3 linked regions of the Kluyveromyces lactis genome follow. The protein of the gene in region 2 interacts with the protein of the main gene of each other region in a biochemical or structural test. Links are inferred from orthologs where the notes say so. Each region holds a gene or a part of one and is shown on either strand. Other genes may lie near its edges.

Region 1 (2,679 bases), on a different chromosome or scaffold from region 2:
GGTTCTTCCCCTTCAAATACAACAAATGTAGCTCACCTAATGAGTACGCTAGGGATTGTTGGGGAATAGGCTTATCACAGTGCCACATAGAGTAGTATAGACCTTTCCATAACTTATCAAATTGGGATTGTTTAGCGTTTTGGAAATTTCTTGTTGTCAAATATTTGCGAAGAGACTCGAAGGCCTGTTCACGGGTCTCCTTCCTATGACCAGCTAACTGCTTTACTAATGTGTTTTCCATTTGTTTGAGATGTTGCTATATGGATGGGTGCAGTACTTGTTTCTCTCTTCGGTATTGCATGAACAGCGACACATCTCATCTCATCTCATCGCATCTCATCTCAGTCAACTTTAATTTTTATTTTTCAATCTGTGCAGCTCTTCTTTTTTTTGAGAATTTTTCCTCGAGATGTTATGCAGAATATTGAGATGGTTGTACTCAATTGAATCGTGGGTTAACTGTTTGGGTATATCCTGGTAGGTATATCCTGATAGGTATATAAGTTTCATGGTTGAAATTAGATTCTCCCATATCTGATCAATCGGTAGTTGTTTTTATGAAGTTTTTATTTTAGTATTATTTTAACAAACTATTATGAACGAAAATTACAGAACGAAAAACACAACGTTATAATATTACACAAGACCGTTTCTTACTCTTTTTCCGTTTCTTCTTAGCATGTTTATTTGAATCAGCTGCTGGTTTTGAGCTAATATCCTTCTTGGTTTGGACTCTTGAAACTAATCGTTGAACTTGACTTGGACCCGCAATGTCATTATTTCGTTCTTGAGAAGGGTTTGAATCGTCGTTTCCCAGTTCTGTCATTGAACTACTTCCCATCGTACGAGCTTGGCTAAATTTTCTAGATTGACTGTTATTGATGTTAGATGCAGATTCTAACTCGTTTCTGATAATTTGTCTTACAAGATCAATAAATACTTCATCGACATTACTTCTGAGTAGTGCACTAGCTTCGTAAAATGGTACTTTGCCCCATTTACTACTGACTTCGATTCCCTCTTCTACTGAAATTACACGTTCATCTTGTAAGTCTGCCTTATTACCAACGAGCACAATGGGGACACGATCGGAATCTTTAATCCGCAATACTTGTTCTCGTAACTCGAGCAGCTCATTTAATGACTGACGATCACTGACAGAATACACCAACAAGAACCCCATTCCAGATTTGATATACAATTCTCTCATAGCTGTGAATTGTGCCACTCCTGCAGTGTCCAAGATTTCCAAATCAAAAACCTTATTATCAATCTCCATGGTCTTGCGATACGAATCTTCTATGGTCGGGTCATAGGAATCTAAGTAAACCCCTTGCACAAACTGAACTGTCAAACATGACTTACCGACACCGCCGGCTCCAAGAACAACCAATTTATAATCTCTCATCTTTATTATCTATCGTTTTTCTTCGGTTTAAGAACCTGAAGATGTGAATTAGGTACCCTGATACTTTCCAGTAGAAATTCTTTGAGGTGTAAATCGCCGTCAAAAAGAGTATTTCTTCGATTATGTATGCTTTTAACGCGTGTTACTGGTATATTTCAGAATGCAAACTTATAGCGAACTAAATCAACTATGAGATCAGCTTGATATACTGGTGCCTGTCACTATTTTCCTTGTTATATTCAAGATAAAATTGAATACTCGTCCTTATACCGATCAGTGAACAAGGGAGTAATATCAGAATGCACGTACGTTTATTCGCAACGCTCTTTTTCTTCTTCCTCTTTACCAACAGGAACAGCTAAATAAACACCAAAAATAAAAGAAAACTCACAGTTTCAATCAGATCAGATACAAAAGAAGCTACAGGATAGAGTTAGGTTCAATTTCCCTTAATTGAGATTATCGTCTATATGAATGATGAATTGTACCCTCCTGAAGACTACCCAAAGTGTCTACGGTTGGTTAATTCGTTATTTACATTTAATACCCGCTAAATGCAACAACCAAATTGTTTTCGCATCTTTTTTTTTCATCTCTGATTTTCGAAAGTTTCATGTTTTTTTCCTTTTTCCTTCTGTTAGCTCATCTCTGCCAAACTCGGATCTCGCAACTCGATACGGTAGAAGTCTGAGAGATGATAAAAATCTTACCCATGATTTCTGTCAGCAGTAAATAACTCGGTATTCTTTTATGGATCTGCTACTTGGTTGATCCATTCCAGTGATAACAACTCAAAAGGGATATAATGTTTCTACAAGGAGTTGTGAAGCGATTGGTACGGGATTTCCATGTTAGCAGGATTTGCAATGAGGCAAAACGGTTTCCTTTCGAGCTATTGAACTTGAAGGTTGGGAAATTCCAACAAGTAGCATTGCATCCCAATTCGGAGAAAATGTACGTTTCTCAAGTGGAATTGGGGAATGGATCTGTGAAACAGATCTGTAGTGGGATCAGACAATACATTCCGAGAGATCAGTTACAGGATAAGTTATGCATAGTGGTAGATAATATAAAAAAATGTAAACTCAGAGGAGAACCCAGCGAAGCAATGATATTGTGCGGTGAACATACAGATGCCGGATCTGGAATAACGTCTGTGAAACTTGCATATCCTGTGGCTGAATCCCTGGAACAATCGGCACAGTTAGTGGGGCAACAGGTAGTTATTGATCTAGATCAAAAGATCACCGATAGGAAGATTAAACCTAAGA
Region 2 (3,747 bases):
GTTTAACTCGCAGGTAATAAAATGGTATGACTGGCGATCTGTGGTAGCAAGCTTGTGGGTAAAATGGTACCAACAGCATAGTCCAAAATTAGATGAAGTAGATATGAATGTTGAGACTGCAGCAGATTCCAGAGTTGATCTGGCACCGAATCTCATGCATAGAAATGATGAGTTTGATCACAATGCGGACATGGACATTGACATGGATCTCGATACAGATCCGTACGCGGATGCAGACATGGACATAGAGCTGGATGAATAGTCCTTAGACATGTTTGTGAAGTATTATTATCATTTTGATAGAAGTATTAACACCTATAGAGAGAGTATGTAAACAACTGATTTTTACTTGTTGAACTGAATTAATGTGAAAGAATATAAGAGTGTTAATGTCAAAATTATGTTGAAGTATTACAATGCGATGTACAGTACATCATTATGATAAGCATGAAAGCCATCAGTGGATAGAAATTGAATTTTGACCACCTTGGGGTTCTTTTTGTATTATTTATTATGACGATAAAATTTTGCAACAAATAACTTAGCTGTCATCGACAAAGATCTTGCGTTTCTCTTGAATTAGAACCGGTACTTCTGCATCAGTAGTGACTTGAGTGCCAATATCATCTCCGTTTTTGATGTACAACTTAAAAGAATCTGCGTCAATTCTAGGTGCTATTTTACTGCACAATTCTTCAAAAGTAATGGTAGGATGCAGCATCAAGGCGAATATGTCATCTTTGTAATAAAATTTGATCTTGACAGGCTTTTCATCAGTTATTCTCGGAGCGAAACCACTAGGCGGCCTTGATTTGACTTTAGCACTGGCATTGGAAGCGCTATTAATCAGAGACAGTCTCTTCATTGCCTCTGGAAGTTGTAGTTCTTGGTTAGTCAGAGTTGAATCATCAGCCCTACCTTTTACGTCAAGCTCCACAGTTTCATCATTACTAATCTCACGGTCAAAACCATTATTTTTAACGGCAAACAAACCCTTGACCAGATGTGATTGTGATATATGCGGCGGTAGGGAAATCAAATCCTTCACGTATATATTTAGGTCATCTTTTCTCTTTTTTGAAATGGTATCTGTCACATACGGAACTGGACCCGGTATATATGGCATTATACGTTTCGTCCACTGACCATTAGTGTCTCTTAGTTTACCCCCTTCTGCAGGGAAGATATCGAGTAGCTTTACTTGTAAATCATAGAAATCTTCATAATAACGCTTCAAAATACGCGTGGTGTTGTTGGATAACTGACACGAGACTTGGAACCAATACTTATCGTCCTGTAGGAAAAATGTCTCGACTGCAGCGTAGGTAAGGAAAACGGCATCAGCAGGATAGGTTGTATTGGCAGCGCTCGAGTGCTGCGTGCTGGGGTGTGGTTGACGGTTTTGTGAATTTTGCCTGGATTGTGATCGGTGTTGCACGTACGACTGACCCTGCTGTTCCACTGAACCTAGTGTGATATTGCTAGCCTTGTAACGGGCGATATTGATCTTCCATTCTTGGACCGAGGGTAGATTCACTGATTCGATATCGCTTTTTACATCATTTCCCGTGGCATAACCAGTAGCTATATCTATAATAGTCACAAAACCAACAGGAACTAGACCGGGACCACCCAACCTGCCAATGGGCTTAGCGATAAACCATTCAAAATCGTGATGAGCACAAATGAACAAGTTTTCTCCGGCATAGGCTGTTAACTCATCTGCCTTTTCTGCTTGAAAATCATACAGTACAATTGCATAAAGAGTTCCCATATTGGAAGGTTGTTGTTGCTGCTGTTGCTGCTGTTGCTGCTGATGATGCTGTAATAACTGATTACTACCGACAGATCCATTTCTATTTATACTTTTCACCGGTGATGCATGCGAATTTGGCCTTGTTCTGCCAAAAATCTCGAAATAATTCTTAGGAACCATGCCTCTCTTGCCGTCCGCCGGATTGGAGGCCTCATACCAATCGTTCTCCTCTTGCTGAACATGGAAAAAGTCTCCCTTATTGAATGATAATTCACCGGCTGATTGTGCCTGGTAATTGTATAACGCTTTGATTACTTTTTCTGGAGACGAGATATCTTTTGATTTTCCACTTGTAAACCCCGAAGATAGCTGTGATGATGTAGATAATTGCCTGATAGGAATGGTCTTTACGTTTTGCACTGAGCTCCCTGGACTTTGAGTAGGTCCGGAAATATCCGCAGAAGTTATGCGCTGTTTCACACTGTCTTTCTTCAATTTGAAATTCTATTCCAAAAATTTCCAGAAATTAGATAATTGGTTCAATTTAATCACCAACCAATGATCATAGTATATGTTAGTATTTTGCCTTCACGTTGCAATATTCATGTGGTTACCTTCTTTCAGTAAAGAAAAATTTTCCAGCCTCTAACAAAGTCAGAAATCCTCCGCTACTACGTCAAAATTGCCAAACATAAGACAATACCACGCGCATTATTACATACCTTCAACATTTTCCCACTATTGACTGCCTTTGCCTTTGTGTTGCAGCTTTCGTCTATCAACTCTGTTATTATGAATTCCTGAAACTCGTCTCTTTATTCATGTCAATCCTTTTTCATCTCGCTTCATCAACCCGCAGAAGGAAAGGAAGAATTTCATTCTAGAAGGGTTTTAGAGGTCACATGATCTGAAATTTAAAGATCGTACAGTATATGTATATAAGGTTAACGTAAAAGTGCTAAAACTAATTAATCGAGTAATACATGGCCTGTGGTCATCATAAATCGATGAGTTAATTGACAAAGGATGAATGATTCGGAGCGGTGAGGTGCCGCTTGTGCAATTTAGTAAAATATGTCTATGTTTCTATTTTTTCTTATTCTTTTGGTTGTTGTTATGTTGGTTCCAGTATTTGCTTACTGACCAGGTTAGACTACTGGTACCCTCTCATAGTACAACATATAAACGAATTTAGTTTCTGATAAAATATCTGAAGTTTTATATTCTTTAACTTTAGTATCAGATATTCTCCACCATGGGTATTTCACCACACTTTTCAATTTCTTTAATCTTCTTTTCTTTGTCTTCTTGTTGACATTCATTGAAATACCGTCATAATCTGTTTCAGTTTCCACTTCGGTAGCACTTGTATTAGTAACTTGATCTGTACTGTAAGAGTCGATACTAGCATTACTAGATAATATCGAAGCGTTGCGGTCAGTCGTCATAGAAGAGACACTGTTAAATCTTGCGCGGTTTCTATGTTCTGAAGATGATGAAGCCATGGGTGAACTGCTAATTTCAGGTAGTATATTGCTAGTATTGTTATTATCCGGTGCTGCCGAGACAGAACTCTTTCTCGAAAGGAAACCAGTGACTCTTTTCAAAGTGGATGGCGTCCTTGAAACTCCAGAACCACTGTTGTTGTTTTGGCCCTTATTATCTGCGTCGTTAGAGAACTCTGAGCTTCCAATAACGTAATCATCATCAGTAACAATCGCAGAGTTTGGTGAGTCCAGGAAAACAGATCTGAATGGCACGTTAGAGGAGATTGAATCTTCCGAGCCGATTGAACAAGAATCGGATTTGTTAGAGGAGTTCAGAACGGCCTGATTCCAGATTTCAGCTGCAAGTTTATTCGACGCAATACCGAAGTCCACCATTGGTGTCTTGCTAATGACTTGATGTGTATCAATGTCTTTCATAAACTCTGGTTTGTGTCTGAAACATTCATAGTGACCGGTAGAATGAGAACCTTGATGCCTCAACAT
Region 3 (4,299 bases), about 210 kb from region 2:
ACCAGCCATTAAATAAGGACTGGTTAATCCAGACGTGATAGTCGTATTATGCGTAATACTTGGCGAGGAAATATTAGCAAAATCTTCAGAACTTTGAGTTTGCTCAGCTCTTTGTTGATCCCATAAGTCTTCGTCATGTTCATTCAGTGACCTTTGCTGCTCTCTCAGTCTAGTTTCTTCACGCGCTTGGGACAGCATTTCCTGAGCTTTTGTTAATGAAACGGTAGGCGTCGCACATGAACTGATAATAGGAACTGAAGTGTCAATGTCAATGGTAGCTTTGATAAGAGCTGCTATCCATGCTCTCATCTCCTCTTTGGTGTCTACTGCGAAGTAATGTACACGAGGCTGAGTAAACGTTAGACCTTTCTTGGAGCCAGGTTGAGGAGGAACCAATTTAAAGCAATAACGCCCTTTACCAGTGCTAGCAGCATAGAGAGAAACAAATTTGTCATCTTCTTTTGCTGGCAACACTCTATGAGCGGTTATATCAATCAATCCACGTTCTCTATTTTCGGTTGTATTGGCAAAGTACGACAATCTGGTACCATGCAACGTAAAGAATCTATTTTTCCAAACACCCATAGCACCAGTACCCTTCTTACTCATCCAACCTGAACAATCTGCTTCACGCATAGCTTCGGATATAGTAATACTACGGATACCTTCCGTGAATGCGGTAGTTCTTTGTTTTCCGACATTTTTCGAGCTCGTACCGCGAGCTGTTCTCGGTTTAGTTGATTCACTCACAGACCTATTTTGATTAACATCCGGTTCGTATAAAGTATCTTTCGCGTCATAAAATACATCCGAGGCAGGTTCTTTAGCGCTAACAGAGCGTCTCTTAGCTTCTTTTCGAGTTTGGGGGTTTGGAAGGTCTTTAATAGGAGATGTACTTAGCATCATCGAATGTCTTTGACTAGGCGTACCGTTATCAATAGTGTTGAAGGGACTAACAAATGAATTCTTCCTGCTATGAGAAACCGACGTCCTTCTTGATGTTTTAGTATGTGCAGTATCTGTCTCGGCATGCTCATCCTTCTCTTTGAAAAATGACAGCAGAGAAGAATTCCTTCTATGCCTTCTTTCTGAGTTGGCTTGGGAAGGTTTTCTACCATGATTGGTAGAGTATGAGGTAGCTCTGGAATGCCCGTATACACTAGAAGAAGGTCTTTCCATATTAACACCAGTTTCTGCATCAGATTCACGATCGGCCTGTTTATTTTCTGTATTTTCCGACAGCATTGATATCCTGTTAAACAGTTCGACGAAGGATCCGCCTGATTTGGTTTTGACATGTCCGGAGTAGACTACACTACCGCGATTCTCTGAAACTTGCTCAGTTGGACTTGGGTTTCGTTCGATAGATTGTGTTTCCTTGAAATATGGGTTTGGAAGGCTAGGGGTACTAGAAGTTGGACCCTGCTTCCTTTTAGGAGGAAATTCGAACTGGTCGTGAATCTCATCCTCCCTCGATTTTTCCTCCTTTGCCTTTGCTTTACCATCTGCCACTTGTTCATATATCGTGGGATGTGCGTATTTGGAAGTTTGAGCACTGGACATTGCGTTAGGTTGAGGTGACAAGAACCTACCGCCAGAGCCAGAACTAGAAGCACTAACCATAGGTGATTTTGGAGGCTGGACTGGTGATGGGTATGAAGGAGGCTTTGGGGCACGTCTAGGCGACGCGAACACATCTTCTGAAATATCCGGAGCTTTAGTAGTTTCATTAGTAAATAGCAAGGATGCTGGTCTAGGTTTCTGAGAGCTTTTGGTGTGTGTTCCAGACGATGGGGTTACGAAGTTCTTTGGAGTTGGAGTCGAATTTGAATTTAGTTCCTCCATAGATTGTGATGTTTTCCTTAGGTGGCCTCGATACGTTGGAATATCATGGTTAGAAGGTGAGGTTATCGTTATCCCAGCATTTTGTTTGAATGATGCAGCGGGCATCAAACTATTCCTGTTATTGGCAGAAGTGCCATTCTGGGTCGATATTTCCTTCAAAGCCTCAATTTCTTTAAAGATCTCAAAACGAGTTCCAAACGAGTTTATCTCCAATTCCTTCAAATGCGCTAATTCTAGTTCCAAAAGAATTGTACCTGAAATTTTATGCTTTTGGAACCTCGATGCTGATTCCACATCGAATCCCAATGAGATGAGGTAAGCTGTAACCTGTTCCGGAACCCAATTCTTCACATTTTCTGGGCGTAATTCGTTGGTTCCAGTAGAAGCCAGGCTATTACTTTTGGTGAAATCTAATGATGAACCTGAAACAAGTCTTTTCAACCCAGGTCTTTGATCATAATCGATGGAATCAGTTCCAGAGGGGAAAGAGTCACCCCTTAACTCTTCAAGTGCCTTATCTATATCACTCATTGTGCTTTTCATTGATATGTTCCTATCCACAGGAACTTTTATCATGTCTGAGTTGGGCGCTTTGATATTATCAAATTTCCTATAAGTTGCGGGTTGTGCAGTTTCTAACGGCTGAGGGGTAGGTAGCTCACTGGTGGACCCATCCTGGGACGGGTATGAAAGATTTGTATTGCTTCCAGAGGCAAACGGACTTGCGATTCTCTTGGAGCTTTTTGCCCTCATCAGGGCTGGTTTGCGTTCCATAGCAATGACTTGAGTGAAAACTTTGGGATACAGGCCTTCTTCTTGTGTTCTTAGATTCTTACCAAAATACCAACCATCGTTATACGACCCATCATCGGTGACCACTTGAATCTTGTCTCCAGGCCTCATATCTAGTTCGTCATCCATACGCTTACTGTACTCGGTGATACAAATAAACAACGGGAATGTTTTCTGCGGCTGAAACCCTGCACCTAAGGGTGTTTCTCCAACAGATGGCACGCCTCCACTGGTACTCCGTAAATTAGTGGTATCTATATGGGTTAGCTTAGGTACTTTATTAGATGCCATACTGATTTTGTAGGTATTTCTGGAACTCGAACGGTATGATACGGCTGAGATGCTCTAAATGAAGTCCAGCGAATTGTTGAGATGAAACGTATAAACTATGAGGAAAATGGAAAAAAAACAAAACGAAACTGCTCTATTTGCACCAATATATAATTCGTCCACGTTAGCAAACCTCTTACCACAATTTTGAGCACTTTCGGTGACCAGACTATACTACGACCCTTGATGGTTCTTATGTTTTGGTTTTTTACGAAGTGCAACTTACTTTCTAATGTTTGTTTCTTTAAAAGTCCACGTCTTGCTTCCAAATTTCCATTCTGTTCCCAAATAGCGAATGCTCGTTACCCGGACTTGCGACCGATACCTAACGACTGGTTCTTCATGTTACCGTTGGTGATTCATCCTTAATTACGGGTCTAAAATACATAGTACTATCATTTATTGTCCAACTATATGACCGCCATATCAAGCGCTGAGGAAAGCTGAGATAACGTTTTTCTGTATAATTTGTATTTGAAGTAAATGTCCGTCATTTAATATGAATGGGATTATGCATTTGTTGATGAAAGAGAAAATGATATCATTCTGTGAGGTTTGGGGCAGCTGTAGGACCTGAAATGTAAGTTTTTGTACCCACGAGATGTATTCGGGCATTCCTGATAAGTCTTGCTTTCTGAAGTGTGTCTTGTTATTGTTCAAAAAGGTCGCATCAGATGAATTAGTAGAAAAAGAACTCTTTCTATTAGATGGGGTATTGGTACCTCGAGATGAGCTGGAATTAACAGAACCATTCATATTTGGGATTGATGACGATTGTCGGTTAAAGGGGCTAATTGAACTTGATGCTCTGCCTTTATGGTCTGGATTGTTTTCGCTTGAAATGTGTTGAGACCAACGTGACATACCTTTCATTTTTTGGAAAATGCTTCTCTTTGACTTCGTCGAAGCTATACTCTTGTTTCCCGAACTTTTCGCACTAATTATAGATGCTGAATCGCTTCCGTTAGCACTTGGTCTGCGTTTGGAGTTCAATATAGAGCGATGAACAGTCTCTCTATCCTGATATCCGGGTTTCCTCAGCGGTGGGCCCATAGAAAGACTGGGTGTCATCATTTGCGGCTGAACACCACTCAGTAATGACGCCTGTACCAACTTGTTTAGATACTGAAGTGTACGTGCAATAACTTCCACGAATTGAGAGTCACTTCGACGTGAATAATCATCAAGCGTTTGGCTCAAAGTCTTGATCACATTAATCTTCAAAGGAACGTTCTCCACAGGAAAATCACTGCCATGGTGATATATCCATAGGTCCCACGTATATTTATCTAATGAAAGATGCAACGATACCACTACTGGTAATTCACTTTC

What was found.
Region 1: the proteins of BEM1 (region 2) and RSR1 form a complex in vitro, tested with the Saccharomyces cerevisiae proteins (2 studies listed by BioGRID). The link is inferred for Kluyveromyces lactis from reciprocal best matches to the Saccharomyces cerevisiae genes BEM1 and RSR1.
Region 3: the proteins of BEM1 (region 2) and KLLA0_E20879g form a complex in vitro, tested with the Saccharomyces cerevisiae proteins (2 studies listed by BioGRID, with this or other methods). The link is inferred for Kluyveromyces lactis from reciprocal best matches to the Saccharomyces cerevisiae genes BEM1 and BOI2.

Annotation. Positions count from the first base shown.
Region 1 is NC_006039.1:1,028,464-1,031,142, forward strand, and holds RSR1 (Ras family GTPase RSR1), read right to left. Parts: upstream 1,409-2,679; coding exon 629-1,408; downstream 1-628. Other genes in the region: RRP1 (Rrp1p), read right to left, coding at 1-241; KLLA0_C12023g (uncharacterized protein), read left to right, coding at 2,214-2,679. UniProt on the Saccharomyces cerevisiae protein: Ras-related protein which binds GDP/GTP and possesses intrinsic GTPase activity. Involved in development of cell polarity during the cell division cycle, and essential for bud emergence.
Region 2 is NC_006041.1:2,076,501-2,080,247, forward strand, and holds BEM1 (phosphatidylinositol-3-phosphate-binding protein BEM1), read right to left. Parts: upstream 2,488-3,747; coding exon 2,479-2,487; intron 2,261-2,478; coding exon 542-2,260; downstream 1-541. Other genes in the region: KLLA0_E23343g (uncharacterized protein), read left to right, coding at 1-262; putative ubiquitin-specific protease UBP16, read right to left, coding at 2,905-3,747.
Region 3 is NC_006041.1:1,863,014-1,867,312, forward strand, and holds the start of KLLA0_E20879g (uncharacterized protein), read right to left. Parts: upstream 2,929-4,299; coding exon 1-2,928. Other genes in the region: KLLA0_E20901g (uncharacterized protein), read right to left, coding at 3,394-4,299. UniProt on the Saccharomyces cerevisiae protein: Protein involved in bud formation. Functions redundantly with BOI1 to promote the fusion of secretory vesicles with the plasma membrane at sites of polarized growth. Acts as an abscission inhibitor during cytokinesis in response to chromatin bridges.